Linked DNA regions of Caenorhabditis elegans. The protein of the gene in region 1 interacts with the protein of each later gene in a pairwise test. Each region holds a gene or a part of one and is shown in the gene's direction. Other genes may lie near its edges. The genes, in order: abu-11, arle-14, clik-1 and gpi-1.

The links.
Region 2: the proteins of abu-11 (region 1) and arle-14 interact in a two-hybrid assay, tested with the Caenorhabditis elegans proteins (one large-scale study listed by BioGRID).
Region 3: the proteins of abu-11 (region 1) and clik-1 interact in a two-hybrid assay, tested with the Caenorhabditis elegans proteins (one large-scale study listed by BioGRID).
Region 4: the proteins of abu-11 (region 1) and gpi-1 interact in a two-hybrid assay, tested with the Caenorhabditis elegans proteins (one large-scale study listed by BioGRID).

What each region holds. Positions count from the first base shown.
Region 1 is NC_003280.10:191,988-196,188, reverse strand, and holds abu-11 (Activated in Blocked Unfolded protein response), read left to right. Parts: upstream 1-1,630; 5' UTR 1,631-1,654; coding exon 1,655-1,729; intron 1,730-2,374; coding exon 2,375-2,593; intron 2,594-2,641; coding exon 2,642-3,211; intron 3,212-3,273; coding exon 3,274-3,597; 3' UTR 3,598-3,680; downstream 3,681-4,201. Other genes in the region: T01D1.8 (ZP domain-containing protein), read right to left, coding at 4,150-4,201.
Region 2 is NC_003281.10:5,691,010-5,694,435, forward strand, and holds arle-14 (ARF7 effector protein C-terminal domain-containing protein), read left to right. Parts: upstream 1-1,940; 5' UTR 1,941-2,004; coding exon 2,005-2,061; intron 2,062-2,109; coding exon 2,110-2,205; intron 2,206-2,245; coding exon 2,246-2,570; intron 2,571-2,644; coding exon 2,645-2,781; 3' UTR 2,782-2,926; downstream 2,927-3,426. Other genes in the region: abi-1 (SH3 domain-containing protein), read right to left, coding at 1-456, 948-1,389, 1,436-1,521, 1,569-1,697; B0336.13 (Transcription initiation factor IIA small chain homolog), read left to right, coding at 3,039-3,325.
Region 3 is NC_003283.11:6,765,247-6,770,403, reverse strand, and holds clik-1 (Calponin-like protein OV9M), read left to right. Parts: upstream 1-1,902; 5' UTR 1,903-1,951; coding exon 1,952-2,035; intron 2,036-2,798; coding exon 2,799-2,947; intron 2,948-3,001; coding exon 3,002-3,273; intron 3,274-3,321; coding exon 3,322-3,495; intron 3,496-3,548; coding exon 3,549-3,672; intron 3,673-3,948; coding exon 3,949-4,300; intron 4,301-4,352; coding exon 4,353-4,418; 3' UTR 4,419-4,636; downstream 4,637-5,157. Other genes in the region: srh-30 (Serpentine Receptor, class T), read left to right, coding at 1-15, 401-514, 562-635; T25F10.1 (uncharacterized protein), read right to left, coding at 1,618-1,902.
Region 4 is NC_003279.8:13,574,451-13,581,936, forward strand, and holds gpi-1 (Glucose-6-phosphate isomerase), read left to right. Parts: upstream 1-1,697; 5' UTR 1,698-1,837; coding exon 1,838-1,940; intron 1,941-2,204; coding exon 2,205-2,325; intron 2,326-3,157; coding exon 3,158-3,450; intron 3,451-4,052; coding exon 4,053-4,903; intron 4,904-5,867; coding exon 5,868-6,139; intron 6,140-6,859; coding exon 6,860-6,980; downstream 6,981-7,486. Other genes in the region: nyn-2 (Zc3h12a-like Ribonuclease NYN domain-containing protein), read left to right, coding at 1-191, 812-1,060; ubc-14 (Ubiquitin-conjugating enzyme E2 G2), read left to right, coding at 7,260-7,302.

The sequences.
Region 1 (4,201 bases):
GAGCAAATTTCTCAGTACCCCTTGATCTTTTGTAGAACTGCTCATTCACAGCATCTAATCCCCCCACACGTCTTAACATAATTAGCATTCCTACATTAGCTACTACATGTGTTGATTATTTGTCTAACAAGATAGAGATAGTGTATACATACTTCCGCTCTCATAAAGACCGGTCATTTTCCGTGCTCATTCTCACTCTCGCAATGTTCTTCCCACACCCTTGATCCTAAGGAAACATGCTCCTCAAGAATAATCTCTTGAAAAGCGTGAGCGATTGTGGTAACAAAAAATCATGAGTATCAATGAAAACAATTCAACGGAATTTGGATTTGGGTGGGTGTGAAGGCGCTGTAAAAAAATGTAATATGAATTTAAGACCTCTATCTGCAAAAAGGTACAATGTAATTTTACAAAGTATTCAAGGTTTCCCTTGAAATAATTTTATAAAAACATTCGTACTAAATATCGAAAACTGCACCAAAACTATTTGCCGAGTGGATTTATCAGTTTCCCGCAATATTGGCAAGACTATCAGGTTATATGATATGATATTAGTATGAGTGCACCTCCACAAGAGTAAAGATGCAATGACTAAGATCAAAAAATTCCATTCCGCTTTGAGCACAAAAAAGATTCAGCGCTGGTAAACTAGTTCTCACCAAGTTTAGAACATCAAACAATTGACGCAATTTGTAGGTCATAGACTGGCAGGTTTTTGATGTTTTACATGACAAGTTTGAGAATAATGAAAGCAATCTTCATACATTTTAATAACTTTTTAAAGAGTTTTTAACTGATATCTTCCTAGAGCAACAAAAACAGCTTATATTTGCAAACATAACCATTTAAAGTTGAAAATGATACTTTTGCCATTGGGTTTTGAATTTGTCAAAATCTTGTTATTAATTTATTTTACTCATGTAGTTTCTAGAAAACATGTCATTCGTCCTGAAACCCCATGGAGCATACGTTATTGTCCTGTCAGAATGTTATTACGTAATATATTACTCATGACATTTACACCATATACAAAAATCTATTTATTTGCAAATATGTTCCATGATTATTTTCTGAGCAACAACAATTATATCATAGTCTAGACTTCACAGGGATAATTAATGTTGTTGGGAAGAAAAGTAAGAACTTTAGAAATGGTGATTGACCGAGTGAACTCTCAAATATCTATTTTTGTCTTTGTAATAACTCTATGAGTAATGAGGAATGAGGAACTGAATTTGTGACTGCAAATTAATCAGAAAGATTATTTAAAGAAGAAAGATATTTTGCTGTAGTTTGTGATGGCTGCTGAAAGACCACCGGAAGACTTTTGACATCGACCAAGTCCTGAAAGATCACGTCCCTCCAGTTCTTCAACTGTAACCCTTGTGAATACTAGAAAGTAAAAAACAAAAAAATAACAACATGTCAACATAACAACACGCCCTCCCCCTCTTGCTCTGCTCTTCCAAACACATGAGCACACACACACACAGGCACACGCAAAAAATTTGGAGACGCATCACTCGAAGAAACCGGAATTTGGGACAGAGGTGGTAGTAGAGGAGAGGGGGCGATGTTTAACTGATTGCAACGGGAAGATATATAAGCAAGAGCATGTATTGGGACAATCATCACTCACTCTGACAAGCTTGAAATGAACACCAAATTTTCAATTCTCTTTTCGCTTTTGGCGGTTTCAGCACTTGCGGTGGCTGCTGAGGAGAATGTGGTATGTATTATTTTTATGAATCTAATTATAAATATTTCATTTGTTCCCCTTTTCTAACTCTTATATTATAAATACTTATTTTTTAATTTTAAAACATTTCGTGCTCACTCACAAGCAATTGCATAACTTGAATATGAATTAAGTAAAATATAGGAACTTCTTAATATATGTTTCAAATAGTTTATCGTTTGACTTCATTATTTTACTACTGAAAATTTAGCAACAGGGGAGTATTTTGAGCTGCAAAAAAGTCGTTCTGAAAAGTTTTCAATGAATTTTTCACAACTTTCGAACTATCGAGGGCAGTAAAAATGTGCCAAGTGTGAATTTTTGCTGACTTTCAAGAGCTTCTAGCATGTTTAGGAGCTGGCTAACAATCGTAAATTTTTTTGGAATTTTTAATTTTTTGAAAAAATCTGAAATTTTTTCACTCAAGGGGTTTTTCTGATTTTCAATTTTACGGGCTTCTAAAGTAATAAAAAAAATACACTAATAGCAACTTCAGATCGAAATTTTTCTAGTTCTAAGTTCTCCTCTGCCGCTTAATTTTTTTTGCAAGGGCCTATTTAGAAGGTTTTTTGCAAATGAGATATTATCCAGAAGACTAAAAAATTAAGTTGAAAAATTAAGTCGTTCCTTTTTCAGTTCCTCCGCGCTCGTCGCCAATCTTCATGTGGATGCGCCATTCCAGCTGCTCCACAATGCAACTGCCAACCAGCTCAAACCAACACCGCCCAACAATCTTGCTCCTGCGCTCAAGCTCAACAGCCATCAAGCTGCGGATGCGCTCAACAGTATCAGCAACAACAGTGTGCACCAACTTGTCAGAGCTCCTGTGAACAGAGCTGTGTTGCCCAGCAACAGGTTAGTCAAACCAAATTCAACCCAGTTAGCCATTTCATATTATTTAAGCCAATCGCCCAGTGCCAATCATCTTGCTCTTCCACTTGCCAGTCCGCATGCGCTCAGCCAGTTCAGCTTCAGCAGCCAGCTCAGCAACAGTGCCAACAAGATTGTCAAGCTGCTTGCCCACAACAACAACAACCACAGCAACAGTGCCAGCAGCAATGCCAGACGACATGTCAATCCGATGATCAGTACTCTCAACAATTGATCCAACAGCAAACCTACGCTCAGCCAGGACAAATCCCAGCCTACACCGGAAGATCCGAGTACAATACTGCCCCACCACAACAGCAACAAGCCAGTCAATGCAATACCTGCCAAAACTCGTGCCTTAACACATGCCAGCAGCAACAGCAGCCAGTGCAACAGTGCCAATCATCATGTGATCAATCGTGCCAGCCACAATGTGCCACGCCATCTGGCTCCGCTTACAACCAAGTCAACTACCAGCCACAGGCCCAGAACAACTACCAAACCAACAACAACTACCAACAGCCAGGAGCCATTCCATCATACCAAGGAGCTTCCCAGACTGCTGCACCAACCTACCAGCCATACAGAGACACCAATGTTCAGGTAACATATTAATAGTATTACTTCTAAATCTAGATTTAAAGAAATCCAACCTAAATTTGTAGGTCGGAGGAACCATCTCCCAGTGCAACACTTGCCAAACCCAGTGCAACCAGGAATGCCAAGTCCAGCAGACCCCAGTGAACCAGTGCGCTCCACAATGCGACGCTCAATGCCAGCCAGCCTGCTCCCCAGCTGCTCCAGCAGCTCCAGTTCAAACGCAACAACAAATTCAGCTTACCATCAATGTTCCAGTTGCTCGTCAGTCCCCACAGTGTCAGCCACAATGTGAGCAAAGCTGCAACACCCAATGCATTCAGCAACAGCAACCAATCTCGCAGTGTCAGCCAGCTTGTCAGCAGAGTTGTTCGGCTTCCTGCAGAAAGTAAATTAACTTTAATTATTAATTTTTGGGAAAAAATAACTTTGTGATGGTTTTTTGTGTATATTTTGATAAATAAATTGTTTTCTACATATGTTCATCTCCTGCATCATACATCTTCACTAAATATTTTATCATTATTATTCCCTCTTGGGATGATAATTACAGAGAAATTTCTAGAATAGAAAAATTTATGAATCATTCAGTCATGTAAATTTTAGCTTTCAATCTCTATAATCTGCGGAACATCTATCTTCTTTTTTTTCTTTTCCACTCAATTTCTGAAACTGAAGTTTTACCACAAAAGCTAAACCCACCAATTACGTGTTATATTTGAAAAGCGGTAAGAAACTTAAAATAATGAACGGTCATCAAGGGTGTTACCTGCGTCAATAAGGGTTTTCGGTGTTTAATTCCAGTCTTTTGGGAATATTAGTTGTTATAGATTTTGACACAAAAAACCTCCACGCAATAATAATTAAACATTTCGTACATAAATCCTGCGTGTGAAACTTTTTGAAAAATTTTATTAGACAAAATGTTTTATTCATATCATATCTCAATTTAAATATCTCGAAAATCGTCGTTGGTTTCCACATCGAGGCCTCTGA
Region 2 (3,426 bases), on another chromosome or scaffold:
TGGTAGATCATCCATATCATCTTGTGTTGGCATTCGACTTGACATTCCAGTGAGCAAAGAATTTGGTGGAGGTGGAAGATCATGTCGGTTCACCGTTGATTTTCGAATAGTTCCATAATTTTGTTGTTGCATTTGTTGTTGTTGTTGTTGTTGTACCACACTTCCCGGTGCAACATATCCAGTATAATTCATAGCTGGTGGTGGAAGTGGGAATGTTGGTGATTCTGGACCTCCAGCACTACTTTGTGCAGATGATAGTCTGGGAATAGAAAAGCTACCATCCACTGTAGTCCGACCACCAGCTCGAATAGTTCCGTAACGATCAGGTTGATAAATGGAATTATAGTCTGATGATCCGTGTTGACTTCCGCTTCCACCACCACCGCTCATATGATCTCCGAACTCTGATCCGTGGCTCATTTGACGGCCGATTCGTGATTCTGATTGTGGTGTGACCTGTAAAAAGTAATCGGATTATGTTAGAAAAAACTTGATTAATTTTTTGAAAAGGAAATGAGCTGATTTTTTAAAAATTAGTTGTTTAGTCTGAAGTCGACAAAAACTAGCCTGAAACATTGAATTTCATAAAAAGACTTCTAAAAAATTTCAAAATTAATTATGTGATTATTCAATAAATACTGTATCTAACTGCTGTAACAAGGATTTCAGATTCTTATTCAGGCTCGCTCTAAATTTTTTTTCGATATTTTCAGAAGTCTCATTATGAAATGCGGTCGTTTTGGGTCAAAAAAACCGTTTTTTGAATAAATTTATCAATGGTTCACTTTTTTTTCAATATTGAGTGTATTTTTCAGAAAAAAAAGTTTAAAATTTAAAATGTATAAGTTATGTCAGAATTTTTCGCTCCCTTTTTTTTTTGAAAACGTTTTGTCAAAAACACGAAAAGCAAATTATTTTCAGCCTCTATGAATATTTCAAATGTTCACCTGTGGCAACCGATAATCCGATGGAGCAATTGATGGAGCATACGGTCTCATTGTTCTTCCTAACGTAGCCGTTCGTTCACCAGCATAAACTCCATACGCTGGAGATTCATTGTGAAATTGTGATGGAGAACTGCCAGAAATTGATGAAGTTGCTCTTGAGATTGGTGCTGCTCTCGGTGGATCCGATGTTCTGACACCATGCCCTATTCCGTCAAGAACAGAAAAATCGATGGGCGTTCGTTGATATCTCTGCTTTTCATCTGGGATTGCTGGTGCAATGATTTTGGGTTGCTTGAATAATGTTTTATTGGTTGTGAGAGAACCAATTTCTCGTCTTGCAAGCTTCTCTTTATGTACATCAACTACTTGGCTAACATATTGAACTTGATTTGTTAAAGAGTTCACTTTATCGGTTTGTAGAGCAAGCATATCGTGTAAATCTCTGAAAAAAAGATTCATAATTAAAACAAATTAATTGAAATACTTACGTAACCATCTTGTTAATCTGGTAGGCTACGCTGGCGAGTGCCTGGATCGCGAATTTCTTGGATTCCTCTAGCGCAGCAGATTTATTCTGAAAACGTTTAATTCATAAACTTAAAAGAAAAAATTAAACCACACGTTTGATTGTATATAATTATCCTCACAATACGCGGCAACTTGTTGAAGATTCGCATGACTCGTTTCCAGTTGAGCTCGATTATCGGGTATCCGTCGCTCGATGAGCTCTTGAAGATCATTAACACTCATTCCGCCTTCCCCATTATGTAGCATCTGTAACAAACTAAAAGTTAACTAACGTTTAGAAAAATATTTTAAAAATAATAAATTGACAGCAGAAATTTCATGAAAAACACTCAAAGGAACTGAATGAATAAGAAATTAATGAGGGCGTGGTCACAGAATGCAACGCGCGGCGCGCTTTTTCGCAAGTGGTACGCACATGTTATTTCCCGCGAGGAGAGCATATCGAATAATAGAATTTCCTCGGATATATTCAAATTAAATCGATATAAATCATATTTCCTACTAAATTTCTGAACCAATAATTCTAAAAATGAGCTCCAATGACGTTCTCGCACAAATTGCCGGTCTGGCGAAAGCTGCAGCAGAGGTTTGAAATTTGAAATTTTAATGTATTTAATTTTTGTATTTTTTTCAGCTTGAAAATGATTTCTCGACGGATAGTGAAATGCAACAAGATTCCGAGATTTGCGATGAAGTCGATGCGGAGCTTTTTGACGATTTCGAAACAAAGGTACGCTTTTGAATAAAGAAAATTTTAACAAAGTTCCCAGAAGTTGCAGCCATCATCTCGAAAGGAAAGTTCAGGAACGAGCCGTCGAACGAGAATGGCACACCGAGAGCTTCAAGGCCTCCAGTTCGCGAATCCAGGAGATGAAATGTCTCGATTTTTGCCCGACTCTGTGGATATTATTAGCACCAACCGCTCGAAACGTGTAGCCGCGGAGAAGCAGGCGGATCTGAGAGACGAACCTTTGCATCATGACAAAACAGGAAAACTTTCGGTTACCGCAAAAGGACAGACTTTGTTTTTCGATCTTTGTGATTGTCTCGTGGTGGAGTGTGATGGGTGCCATTGGCCATGTAAGCAGTGCAAATGTAAGAGATGATATTCATTAACTAAAAATATTTGTTCTAAAAATTCTTTAAACAAAGAAAAATGCATTTTTCAGCTCGCAAATGTCTCATCGGATGTCGTCAAAATCGAAAAGAAATGGTGATACGCGTCGAGGAGATGTACACAGTGACGGAAGCCCCGGGCCCTGTTGTCAATATTAATCCTTATTTTCCGGGCCAAATCAAGGATTAAATGCCTTATCGTTTTATCAATTTTAACCTCTTATGTATGTTCCCCTTTTTCTTGTACTGGTATTATCTATTTTGAACTGTTTTATACATGTCTTTGTGAAAAATTCAATCTCGATGTTCATTAAAAACTAAAGATATTGTTTGTTTTTGTTCTTTTTTGTCATACTAATCCATAGTTTCTCGGTTGATAATCTGAAAATATATCTGGCATCTTCTCGAGAAAAATTTAATCCAACGATATTTCAGAATCTTCCAGAAATGTCGTCATACGCTCTTTACCGAGGGACCACACTGGGTCAGGCACTCGATAAAACTCTTGAGGACATGGAATCCGAAGGACTTCTCACGAAATCTCTTGCTTCGAAAGTTCTGCAACAATTTGATAAAAGCATGAACAAGCAAATCTCGCGGCTTCCAAAAGAGAAAATGAATTTTTGTGCGACACAACTGCTCACTTATCGATATTGTGATAACGTTTGGACGTTTATTCTCAATAATGTCACGTTGAAAGATCCCCAGCGATCGTTTGATGAGCCTATTGATAAGTGAGTGTTTCTTTTATTTGTATTAAAAATAAAAAATCTAGAAAAAAGCAATTGTTTATTAATTTTCTATAAAAATTTTTGTTTCTCGATGATCTATAATT
Region 3 (5,157 bases), on another chromosome or scaffold:
TGATTACGGATCCAAGTAAGTTTCTGGTTTGTGCGCGGCTTGGTTACGTGAATGATTAAATTTCTATTTGCAACTTTTATGCAATAATAGAGCTAAATTTGTTTACATATTAGGTTATCAGTTCCGTGTTAAAATTCATCTGTTTTTGCTGCACATCGATTTCAATCGACATATGTGAATTAATGCTATCCGGTTTGTTTTTCCACTCACTTTCAGTCAAACTCATAATATTATGAAAATTTTAAAAATTGTTTAAACAAATCGATCATAATTTTTTTAGCTGATGTGCTTTCTGCCCGAATATTTTTGTTAAGTGGTTAAAATCAATTGATCAGAAGTTTGATTCGAATAGAGCAATTCTGAAAGATGGAACATTTGTAAAAAATCTATTGATTTTCAGGGATAATCCCAGCATCTCTTATATTCGGCTTATGTCATGGAGCAGCTACCACGCTAGTTCACCTGTTATCCAACAAGCCATTTCGCAGCACGATGAAAGCACAGCTGTTATGGGGTAACAAAACTTTCTACCGTATCATACCTGGAAATATCTTTTTTCAGTCATAAACTGTGTGACGTGTTCTCGACACTCATCAAGCAACAAAGTGCATACACTGTCTTCAATTGTTCAATAACTTGAAAAATCAAATGACAAAAAAAAACGCACATTCAATTCTCATTTATTTGTTTGTTTCATCACTTTTTCTCCACCCTCACTTTTCCGCAACGATGAAGACGATTTACAATCCACGTTATCCCAATAAAAACTTCTCGTTTTGCGGCTGACAAAGAAATTGAATGCACATGTTTTAGCCGCGTGTTGTACAACGAGAAGATCTCTCAAAAAAGCAGAGAAGAGCAAGAGGAGATGAGGGAAGAAGGGGGTAAAAGTCTTAAGTGACAGGGATCGAGTATTGTGTGATCAGCAAGGGAAAGGGGAGCAACACAGAAAAAAACGTATGTAATAGAAAGAAAAACAGAAAACATGAAAAAAGAAACCACAACAACAATAACTCAACATTTTGGAAAACCTATAGACAAAAAATTAACTAACTACGTCTAATACACTGTTTGAGCATTCGTTCAGCTTGAGCATGCCTTCAGGCGGTATAGGCAATTTTTAAAATGATGTAGAGCTTTTAATACTGTAATTATTGACTTTTCTAAATGTGTTTGTTTTGCATTCTAAAATTTGTTGAAATGAGATGGTATTAAGTAGATATCATTACGCCCCTCTTGGGTGGAATTTCTAGTTCTGAAAAATCACGTAATTCTTGCAATATTTATATTCTGTCCTGTAAAAATCTCAATTACGAAACCAAAACACCACAAAATTTACATATAACACCCTCCATCTTACATCTAGATAGAAATATTATAGGATTTTCGAGGGATTCCCTGAGTTTTCATGTATTTTTTGTTCCGCTCGGCATGCCACATTTCATCTAGATTGGCATCTGTTCTCACTCGATCTGGAATCCTTCGTAGATTATCGCTCTTCTAACATTTTTCTTCTTTATCTGTTCTTCTTCTCTATCCACTTGTTTTGCTCCTCTTTTACTCTCATGCCAAGTCTACATAGCTGCCCCCGAACCACATTCATCCACGGGAGAGAGCTCACTTCTTCCTTCCCGTCTTCTTCTGCCGATCCCATCGTCGAAACATTACACTTCCGTCGGAGACGAAGACTTGGTGAGCATCGACGAAACACGCCGAGAAGTCAAGAGATTCCAAGAATATTACATTCGGGAAGATGCCTCCTGGTTGATTGTGGGCGACGTCTCTCTCGATTTCGATATCTTTTCCTCCCGCCGCCGCCACCGTTGCCGTCGGGAAGGATGTGGCAGACTCCGCCCACCTACTTTGAGCGATCGTCGAAGGCACTCCCAAGTTGGCCCTCATTCTGGGACGTGTTTAGGTCTCGTATCACTACTACATCGCATTTTCAATCATGTCTGACGTCGAAGACGAGTACGAAGATGAGGAGGAGATCGAGGAGGACGAGCCAGTCGCCGACGAGAACCAAGAGCCAGAGGTAATCGTTTTTTGCCATTTTTCGGCTTTAAATTTTTTTTATTCTCTTCATATTTCTAATAATTATCACTATCGTGGTGTTTATTCCATTTTGACCGTATTTTTCTACAAAACTTTAAAAATGCCGACTTACGTGCCAAAAATGCAAGCGTATTTTTACTTGACTTAAGTTTACTTTGCCGCGAGTAAATTATAACTATTACAATTTTGAAATTATTTCACTGCAAAGTAGGCGTAGGTTTCTCCGGCGAGTTATGCCTACACACAAGCTGGTAGGCATTTTTAAGCCCTATGGCATTCACCACTATTCTATTCTGAAATTAGATCCACTTCGTAAACTTAAATTTTTGTAAAAAAAGTCCTTCGTTAGTGTAACCGTTTTGGAACTAGACTTTACTATTTTACTATTTACTATTGAGATTTACTATTTTTCAACCTCCCCCACCTATTTTTTTTTCTCTTGATGTGTTTTGTATCTTTTCAAATCTTGTTCTTACCTAGTTCCAAAGTTCCCAGTTCGAAAATATTTTCCTCATCGATGCCTTTGTCATTCTACCGATGGCACCGTTGTAAAGTGAGGGAGCTCCCCAAACTGCTCACCTAACCTCCGCATTCTTCTCACTATTTTCCCGCATTACACAACTTTGACGCCATTCGGCGCAATTTTCGATTCTAGTTTGACAATGAATGATAATGGTAGTGAGATATAGATTTGATAGATAAATGAACATTCAGTTTACACGAGTTTTATTGAACATTTATAGGCTGAAGAGCCAGAGGCCGAGGAGGAAGCTCCGGCTCCGGCCGCTGCCTCCCCAAGAGCTGCTGCTCCACCAGCGTCTCTCAAGAGTCCAACACCAGGAAGACAACAAGTCAACTTCACTCCAAGCATTCCACAGAGTGTTTTGAGAAAGTAAGAATTTTACTGAATACTTCGAGGAAAAGTAATTATTTTGTTAAATTTTAGGCAACAAAACTACTCATCTGGAAAGCCATCAACCATCCACACCAAGGAAAAGTTGATGAGATCCGAGGGAATTATCCCAATTCAAGCTGGATCTAACAAGTATGCTTCCCAGAAGGGAATGACCGGATTCGGAGTTCCCCGTGACGTCATCGACAAAGTTAAGTCTGATAACTTGGCTGAAATCACTGACGAGAAGAAGATTGCCAACCTCAAGGGATCCACCTGGCTTCAGTCCGGAACCAACAAATTCGCTTCCCAAAAGGGACAGTCCGGTAAGATCTGAACCTTCAAAATTATTTTAAACTGCTTGTTTTTTCTAGGCTTCGGAGCTGTTCGTGATGTCAACTACAAGACCAAGGGAACCGGAGGAGCTTCAGAAGTTCCAGAAGAGAAGGCACGTGCTTCCGATGGAATCGTTCCACTTCAATCTGGAACCAACAAGCTCGCATCTCAAGCTGGAATGACCGGAATCGGAATGCCACGTATTGTTGATGGTAGGTATACAACAGAGAATAATTGTATAAAGTTTATGAATTGGCATTTTCAGTGAGAAGGACCAACGACCAGGATCGTGACTCGCAAGGATTCATTCACCTTCAGATGGGAACCAACAAGTTTGCCAACCAAGCTGGTATGACCGGATTCGGTATGCCACGTCACAACATCACCAAGTAAGATTTTTTGAAATTTGGTTTCTGGTGAAATAGGATTACAGCCTTGTTAGGTTGCCTGAACATTTTCTAATAAGTATTTGGAACATCTGGCACGATTGAAATAGTTTTAGAGTTTTTTAATGTGCTCAGAATAGAGGCTTACTATTGGAATTGAATTTGTAAGAACATAAACTTAACTAAAAACTATTTTTTTCCAATTCATAAATTTATTTTTTATACTATTTGGAACTTACACTTCTATATAACGCTTTTATAAAATTAAACATATTCTAGGTACAAGGACGAGGTTCGCGGAGACATGCCACACGACGAAGGAACCCTTTCAAGACAGACCTCTGGATGGAAGGAGGGAGCTTCGCAAGCCGGTATGACCGGATTCGGAGCCTTCCGTAACAACACCGTCGCCTTCATGCAGGCTCAAGACCAACGATCACAGGGAATGATTCCATACCAGATGGGAGTCAACTTCCTCGAATCACAAGCCGGAAAGACCGGATTCGGACAGCCAAGACAGGTGTACACTCCATTCACTGACGATACTCACGAGGATCTGCCAGCTGATATCGCCCGCCGACCGGATGTTCCTTTCTGGACAGGACAGAAGGAGGCTGATCATGCTAACCAGGTAAAATATTATTTCTTGTTTATGCTCCAACTAATTCTCAAAACAATTTCAGACCGGTATGACTGCCTTCGGTACTCCACGTGACGTCCGCGGAGAGTATGTCCGTCGTATGTGGTAATTACATCTTCCATTCAAATCCATCCAAAAAACCATCATCTCCACCCACATGCTTTTTATATCCTTTTTTCTTTGAATTATTTTTTTTTTGAATTCTTACAATTTTTTTGAGATTGTACTATAATAAAACTATGAGCCTTGCCTTTCATCCATGTGTTACTTTAACTTCAATTTAGTTTTGCCGAGATTAGAAAATGAATCTGATTGCATCGAATTTTCTGGAATTGAAAAAAAAAACTTAAAATAAGGGGAGATTAAAGCTATAATTCTGTATTTATTTGGTTTATTGGTGGGTTTACTTTTAATTTTTCTTAATGACTTGTAGTTTAAAGGTCTAAAACACAAAATATCACTATTTAATAGAATGCTATAATATATTTGTTTGTAGTCAAAAAGCTGTAAAAACTCAGTTTTCACCTGTAATAATGTTGGAAGTCAAACAAAAATATTCTTTCTATGTATTAGGTTTTTATTTTAATTCCGTGTTGTTTTTTCGTATTTAAGTATTCCAAAATAACATCGACCAAAGTATATAACCAAGTAGCTTCTTGGAATACTCGTAAAGTACTCACATTTGTTTTTTGCTCTTTGTTCATATAGCAACCCGATATCACTGAAAACTTTTCCATCTCATCATTAAAAATGCTCACAATCTAATTATATGCACTCCAAAATTATAAGTTAACTCTTCGTGAAATACTGAATAACTTCTACATATACGCGGATTAATTATTAATGGA
Region 4 (7,486 bases), on another chromosome or scaffold:
GCTGTGGTGCTGTATTTGTGTCATCAGAGGATTATCGCCAGAGAAAAATGAAAATAAATTATTCAAAACCGTCGGGAAGGATCATTACGCCGTGCTTTTTGAATGCAGAAGACCGGTTATTGGTTTTAGATCCAACAATTCGGTATAGAAAGCCTGGAGAGAAGACGTATACGGTTATTTCGTCGGATCGGGTAAGAATGGATCACACACTACAAACTACAAATCGCGCTGAGCCTCACCGAATTATCAATTTTCGGGGATTTTTTTTAATTGAAAAACGCCAAAATGTGGCATTTTTTAAGGAAAAATTGTGAAAATTATTCTCAAATTGCCGAAAATGTATAAAAACACGCTTTCAAACAATTTAAACACTTGAAAAATGGTTTTTAAAACACTTTTATTATTAACTGGAAATTGATAGTTGAGGCTCAGACACTACAAACTACAAATCGCGCCGAGCCTCAACAAATTATGAATTTTTCTGTCAAAATGCAGTTTTCACTGGAAAAGTGCACTAAAACTCGATTTTAGAAATGTGAATTCGAAATTTTAGATAAAATCTGTCAAATTTCATTATATTCGCTCTAAAAAGCGTTTTTTTTTTAAATCAAAATCGTCAAACATTGGAATTTTTGTGAAAAAAATCATGAAAATTCTTTTTAAATTGCCGAAAATTGAATGACAACACGTTTTCGTACGGTTTTTCACAAAAAAAACACTTGAAAAATTATGGCTGAGGCTCAGACACTACAAACTACAAACCGCGCTGAGCCTCACCAAATTATAAATTTCAAGTTGTTTTTTTTCTCAGATCCTCCAATTCGATGAGCCCGACGACGAACGTATCAAGCTCAGCGAGCAACTGTACCTCGACCAACAAATCAAACTAATTTGCTCTTTGTGCCAGCTCTACCCTGTAAAAATGATTAATAAGGTGGCCATCAAGCAGCTTCTGGAGCTCGTCGTCTTCGCCGGAGCCGATTTCGAGATGCCTGGAATGAGCATAGAGGACTATGAAAAGCTGTACGATCGTTATGGACGCGAAGCGTTTTTTAACTAACGATTTTTAAAAATATTTCTTATTTGCCATGTATTTTTCTCAAAATTCTCACCCCAAAACCGGTTTTCCTGTAATATTCGCACTCCCTTTTTTCACTGGTTTCTGTTTCAAAATGTAATATGTTTCTAGCTGTGCCTTGACTTGTAATATTTTATTTGTCAAGTGGATTTTCCATTCAGCTGAATACTTTTTTTCAGGGAAATTTTCATTGCATAACCCCGATTTTCGTGTCGTTTTTAACAGAATATTCCAGTTTTGCAAAAAAATTAATTTGTTTAATGAAAAACAAATTAGTTTTTCACTTTCCACGTGGCCTGTTGGTTGAGGCTGACAAAAATGTGTAGTTTGTAGCCTCAACCAATTTGTCAGCAATGTACAGCGACTTTCACTTTCAAATCATCATCAGGTATTAGGGTAAAAAATCAGAATAAAAAGAAACAACAAGTGTTTTCCCGTGTCGTTTGATCACAGGAAAATGCGCAAAAATATCGATTTTTCTCTCCTTGTTCATTGATGTTTACGATTTGTTTATTATATATTTCGGTTTACTCCCTGAATTATGGCGTGGTTCGGCGCTTATAGTTAGAGAACACGCCATTCAAATTTTCGATTGGAAATTTTAATCATTTTGAACGAAATTTCGTGTGTATAATTTAAAGAAGAGTTACTTGAAATTCTAGACTTGTAAAGTTTTGCATTTTTGCGCGTGCACCTTTAAAGAGCTACCGTAGTTTTACAGTTTTAACCGGGAATATTTGATTTTTCCCAAATGTTTCGATGATTTTCGAGCTTTTTCGCTTCATTTTTCGCAAAAAAAAAATGCTCGGCTACCTTTCTGACCTAATTGGCACGCTTTTCATCGGAGATTCCACCGAAAAAGGTATGATTTAATGTTTTAAACTGGAAAACTGCTTTTAAATAAGCTTTTTAATGCAAATCTCTGCGAAAAAGTTCCCGAAAATTGGTTATAACCACACGTTCCTCAACTTCTCTGCTCCTCTCTCATCCCCCCGTCGAAGCAAAAAAAAATCAATAATTGCGTCAGAGTGTGTGCGTGTTGTTGTTTTTTTTGCATTCTGCACGTATTCAACAAAGCTCTGCAGCAATTTTTCCGTGATTTTCCCTCAAATTTTTCGTTTTTCAGCCATGTCTCTGTCTCAAGACGCCACATTTGTTGAGCTGAAACGCCACGTGGAGGCCAACGAGAAGGATGCTCAACTTTTGGAGCTTTTCGAGAAGGATCCAGCTAGATTCGAGAAATTTACGTGAGTTTCCGCAACTAAAAATGTGAAAAAATGCCTGATTTTTGCTAAAATCCACGTGGTTGAGGCTCACACTACAAACTACAATAAATTCTGAGCCTCACTAAACTTGAAAATTCACAGGAATCAACTTAAAAAAGTAGATTTTCGCTGCAACCCACGTGGATAATTTGACCAATCAGGCTGATACTACAAACTACAAGAAATTCTGAGCCTCAACTATTATAGAAATTCACGAAAAAGTTGATTTTTACTGCAATCCACGTGATTTTCGGTGCGATAATGGTGGTTGAGGCGCAGGCTACAAACTACAATTTGCTCTGAGCCTCACCAAATCTGGAAATACCTGAATTTTTCTGCAAATACGTGGATTTTCTTTTGGACAAGTTGGTTGATCTTATCCTGAGCCTTATCCATCCTTGAAATACGCTGAATTTCACGAAAAAAGTGTATTTTTACTGCAATCCACGTGTTTTTTGGTGCGGCAAAGTTGGTTGAGGCGCAGGCTACAAACTACAATTTGCTCTGAGCCTCACCAAATCTGGAAATACCTGAATTTTTCTGAAAATTCGTGGATTTCCGGTTGAACAGGTTGGTTGAGCTTATCTTGAGCCTCATATATTCTAGAATTTACAGAAATTCACGAAAAAAGTTGATTTTTGAGTGATAAAATTGGTTGAGGCTCAGAGGCTACAAACTACAATTTGATCTGAGCCTCACCAAATCTGGAAATACTCAAAATCCACGTAGAACGCTGTTTTTTGCTGCAATCTAGCCAAATTTTCCCAAAAAAAAGCCAGAAATATACCCAAATAATTTGGAATTTTTATTTCAGCCGCCTCTTCGCAACTCCAGATGGCGATTTCCTGTTTGATTTCTCAAAGAATCGTATCACTGACGAGTCATTCCAACTTCTGATGCGTCTCGCCAAGTCACGTGGTGTCGAGGAGTCCCGTAATGCCATGTTCTCCGCCGAAAAGATCAATTTCACCGAAAATCGTGCGGTTCTCCACGTGGCACTCCGTAATCGTGCCAATCGGCCAATCTTGGTCGACGGAAAGGACGTCATGCCTGATGTTAATCGAGTTTTGGCTCATATGAAAGAGTTTTGCAATGAGATTATTTCGGGTTAGTTTTTGTAAAGATGACACGTGGATTTCTAAACATTTTGCCACGCTTTTAAAATTATAATTCCATGAATTTGGCTAAATTTCGCTTATTTTTCGAAATTCTCAGCGATTTGAAGCCCGAAACTCCAAAAAATCACAAAAAACAACACCGAGTTTGTTGGTAGAGGCTCAGTTTTTTGGTAGTTTGTAGTCTCTGAGCCTCAACCAAAAATAGTAAAAATTTAGAATTTTGAGTGAGGCTAATAGATTTTTGTAGTTTGTAGTGTGAGCCTCAACCAAAAATAGTAAAAATTTAGAATTTTGAGTGAGGCTAATAGATTTTTGTAGTTTGTAGTGTGAGCCTCAACCAAAATATTTAAAATTTTGAATTTTGAGTGAGGCTGAAAGGATTTTTGTAGTTTGTAGTGTCTGAGCCTCAACCAAAATAGTGAAAATTCAGAATTTTGAGAAAATCCAACGTTATTTTTTTTGAAAAATTGAAATTTTTGTTATTTTTGTCTGAAAAACTCTAATTTTTTCTAATTAGTCTTCTAAAAAATCACTTCTTTCGTGGCAAAATTATGTAGTTTGTAGTGTAAACCTCATCCAATCATATTTCAGGCTCATGGACTGGTTACACCGGAAAAAAAATCACCGACGTTGTGAACATCGGAATCGGAGGATCAGATCTAGGACCACTCATGGTCACCGAATCGCTGAAAAACTACCAAATCGGACCGAATGTGCACTTCGTGTCGAACGTCGACGGAACCCACGTGGCAGAGGTCACAAAGAAGCTCAACGCCGAAACAACACTGTTCATCATTGCATCAAAGACATTCACAACTCAAGAAACAATCACTAATGCTGAAACAGCGAAAGAATGGTTTTTGGCAAAAGCCGGAGATGCTGGAGCAGTTGCTAAGCACTTTGTCGCACTTTCAACGAATGTTACGAAAGCTGTTGAATTCGGAATTGATGAGAAGAATATGTTTGAGTTCTGGGATTGGGTTGGTGGGCGATATTCCCTTTGGTCAGCTATTGGACTATCAATTGCTGTTCATATTGGATTCGATAACTATGAGAAGCTTCTCGATGGTGCATTTTCTGTTGATGAGCATTTTGTGAATACTCCATTGGAAAAGAATATTCCAGTTATTCTTGCAATGATTGGTGTACTCTATAATAATATCTATGGTGCTGAGACTCATGCTCTTCTTCCTTATGATCAATATATGCATCGATTCGCCGCATATTTCCAACAGGGAGATATGGAGAGTAACGGGAAATTTGTGACACGTCACGGACAACGTGTCGACTATTCGACTGGACCAATTGTTTGGGGAGAACCTGGAACTAATGGACAACACGCATTTTATCAGTTGATTCATCAGGGTACTCGACTGATTCCAGCGGATTTTATTGCTCCGGTTAAGACGTTGAATCCGATTCGTGGGGGATTGCATCATCAGGTAGATTTCAGTGAGGCTGAGAGGCTACAAACTACAAAAAACTACTGGTCCTACGTGGATTCTCCAAGGACGAACAGTTTTAGGTTTTGTAGAGAACTAATCGAAAAAAAAACAAAAAATTTCGATTTTATTTTTTGAAATAAAAAAAAAAAAACCCCGGATTTTGAGTGAGGCTGAGGGGCTACAAACTACAAATAAACCAATTTTGTGGGAAAACCCGATTTTTTTAAAACAAAATATCGGAAAATCGGATAAAACATTTTTTTTATTTCCGATTTTCCGAAAAAAAATGCCACGTGGATACCCGCATTTTGAGTGAGAGACTACAAACTACAAAAATGACGGATTTTTGGTGCTTTTTATGCCACGTGATGGGAAATTTTTCGTTTTTTAAAAGAAATGTTTTTAAAAAAACGAGAATTCTAATTTTTTTTGAAAATAATGGAAAAATAAGAATTTTAGATTTTTTTGAAAAACGAATTTTTTTTTTGAAAATTCAAATTTTAATATACTTTTTCAGAAGTAAGCGAAAAAACGAATATGTTAGATTTTTTCAAAATTTTTTAACGAAAAATGTTCATTTTTATGTGAAAAAAACCTCTCTTGAAAGATTGGAACTTTTCTGAAAAGGAAAAACTCAAATTTTTTTGAACCATTTTAGAGAAGTACCAAAATTGTGAATTTTTGCCATAAATTACCCATTTTTGCCACTTTCTAATGTTTTTTGACGGGTTATACCTAGTTTCTCTGAATTCTGCATATATGAATTACCCGTTTTCAATGAATTTAGACAACTTTTTATTTTTGCCCATTTTGATTTTTCAGCCAAAAAATAATTTTTGCTGAAAACGTTCAATTGTTGAGAATTCGGAAAAAGGAGAGATTTTTTTGGTTCCCAATAAAAATAGAAAAAGTAATTTCCGGTTTTTTTTGTAGTTTGTAGTCTAATGAATTAAATTTACAGATTCTTCTCGCCAACTTCCTCGCTCAAACCGAGGCACTAATGAAAGGAAAGACTGCCGCCGTGGCAGAAGCCGAGCTGAAATCATCTGGAATGAGCCCTGAATCGATTGCAAAGATTCTTCCACATAAAGTGTTCGAAGGAAATAAACCGACAACTTCTATTGTACTTCCAGTTGTCACACCATTCACATTGGGAGCATTGATCGCTTTTTATGAGCACAAGATCTTTGTTCAGGGAATTATTTGGGATATTTGCAGTTATGATCAATGGGGGTACGTGTGTGTTGCATATGCACACTACAAACTACAAAAATCGATGTTTCCACGTGGTGTCAGGCTGTCCTATTACGGTTTGATCTACAAAAAATTCGGGAAAAAACCATGCAAAATCAGTTGAGGACTATGCGTCTCTTCTCCCGCATTTTCTGTAGATCTACCGAAGATCAAACCGAAATGAGACACTCTGACAACACACGTGTGTATCCAAATTGAAATCCACGTGAATTTTCTGATTCGTTGAGGCTCAGAGAATTGTTGTAGTTTGTAGTCAGGCCCGAAGTCGGAAAAAAGTTTGGATTACTATTCCAGAATTAGATATTTACGGAATGTAGTTGAAAATTTTAATATTCACATGGCATTTTGGCTTTTAAAGACTGTTTCAAAATTGGTTGAGGCTAACAATAATTGTAGTTTGTAGTGTGACAGCCTCAACCAATTTTCGAAATTCAAAAAAGACATTAGTTATAGGGTTTCTACAATCCACGTGGTGTACTGTTTCCGGTTTTTGAAAATTAATTGAATTAAAAAATGTAGTTTATAGTCTGAAATTAAGCCGGTATTTCGAAAAACCCTGTTATCCACGTGGCATTTTAGATTTTATCGTAATTTCTTGATTTTAAATATTTTTGGTGAGGCTAACAAAAATTGTAGTTTGTAGTGTGACTGACAGCCTCAACCAATTTTATTATCGATCTATTATCAATTTTCTTACAGAGTTGAGCTCGGAAAGCAATTGGCAAAGGTTATTCAACCGGAATTGGCATCAGCGGATACAGTAACCTCACATGATGCCTCAACCAATGGACTCATCGCGTTCATTAAGAATAACGCATAATTTATATGGAAATCCCCAAAAAAAGGAGATTTTGCTAGTCATTTTGCACCGCCTGTAGCCACTTTTTTAGTTGAAATTTGGTCAGTATTCCCCACCCAGTTCCTCCCACGCACCCGTTTTAACTCATGTACTATATAAAATAGATTGCATTTTTCTTCAAATATTTAATTTTTAAAATTTTTTTCTGGATTTTTGAGGTTAAAACACCCTAATTATTTTCATTTCCTCAAGTTTTTACTCAAAAATTCAACATTTGCAATTTTCCAGCTTCTCTCGATAATGGCTGGTTACGCTTTGAAGCGGTTGATGACAGAGTATAAAGGTAATTATTGATGGTTGAGGCTCAGCGACTACAAACTACACATTTCCTAGCCTCACCCATTTTTTTCGTAATAAAAACGATATTTTGTGGTTTTACACTAAAAATTTTAGTTTAAAAAAATAAAAAGAAATTTGAATTTTTAATATTTTTCCCTGAAGAGTTAAATTTTTGACTGATTTTTCAG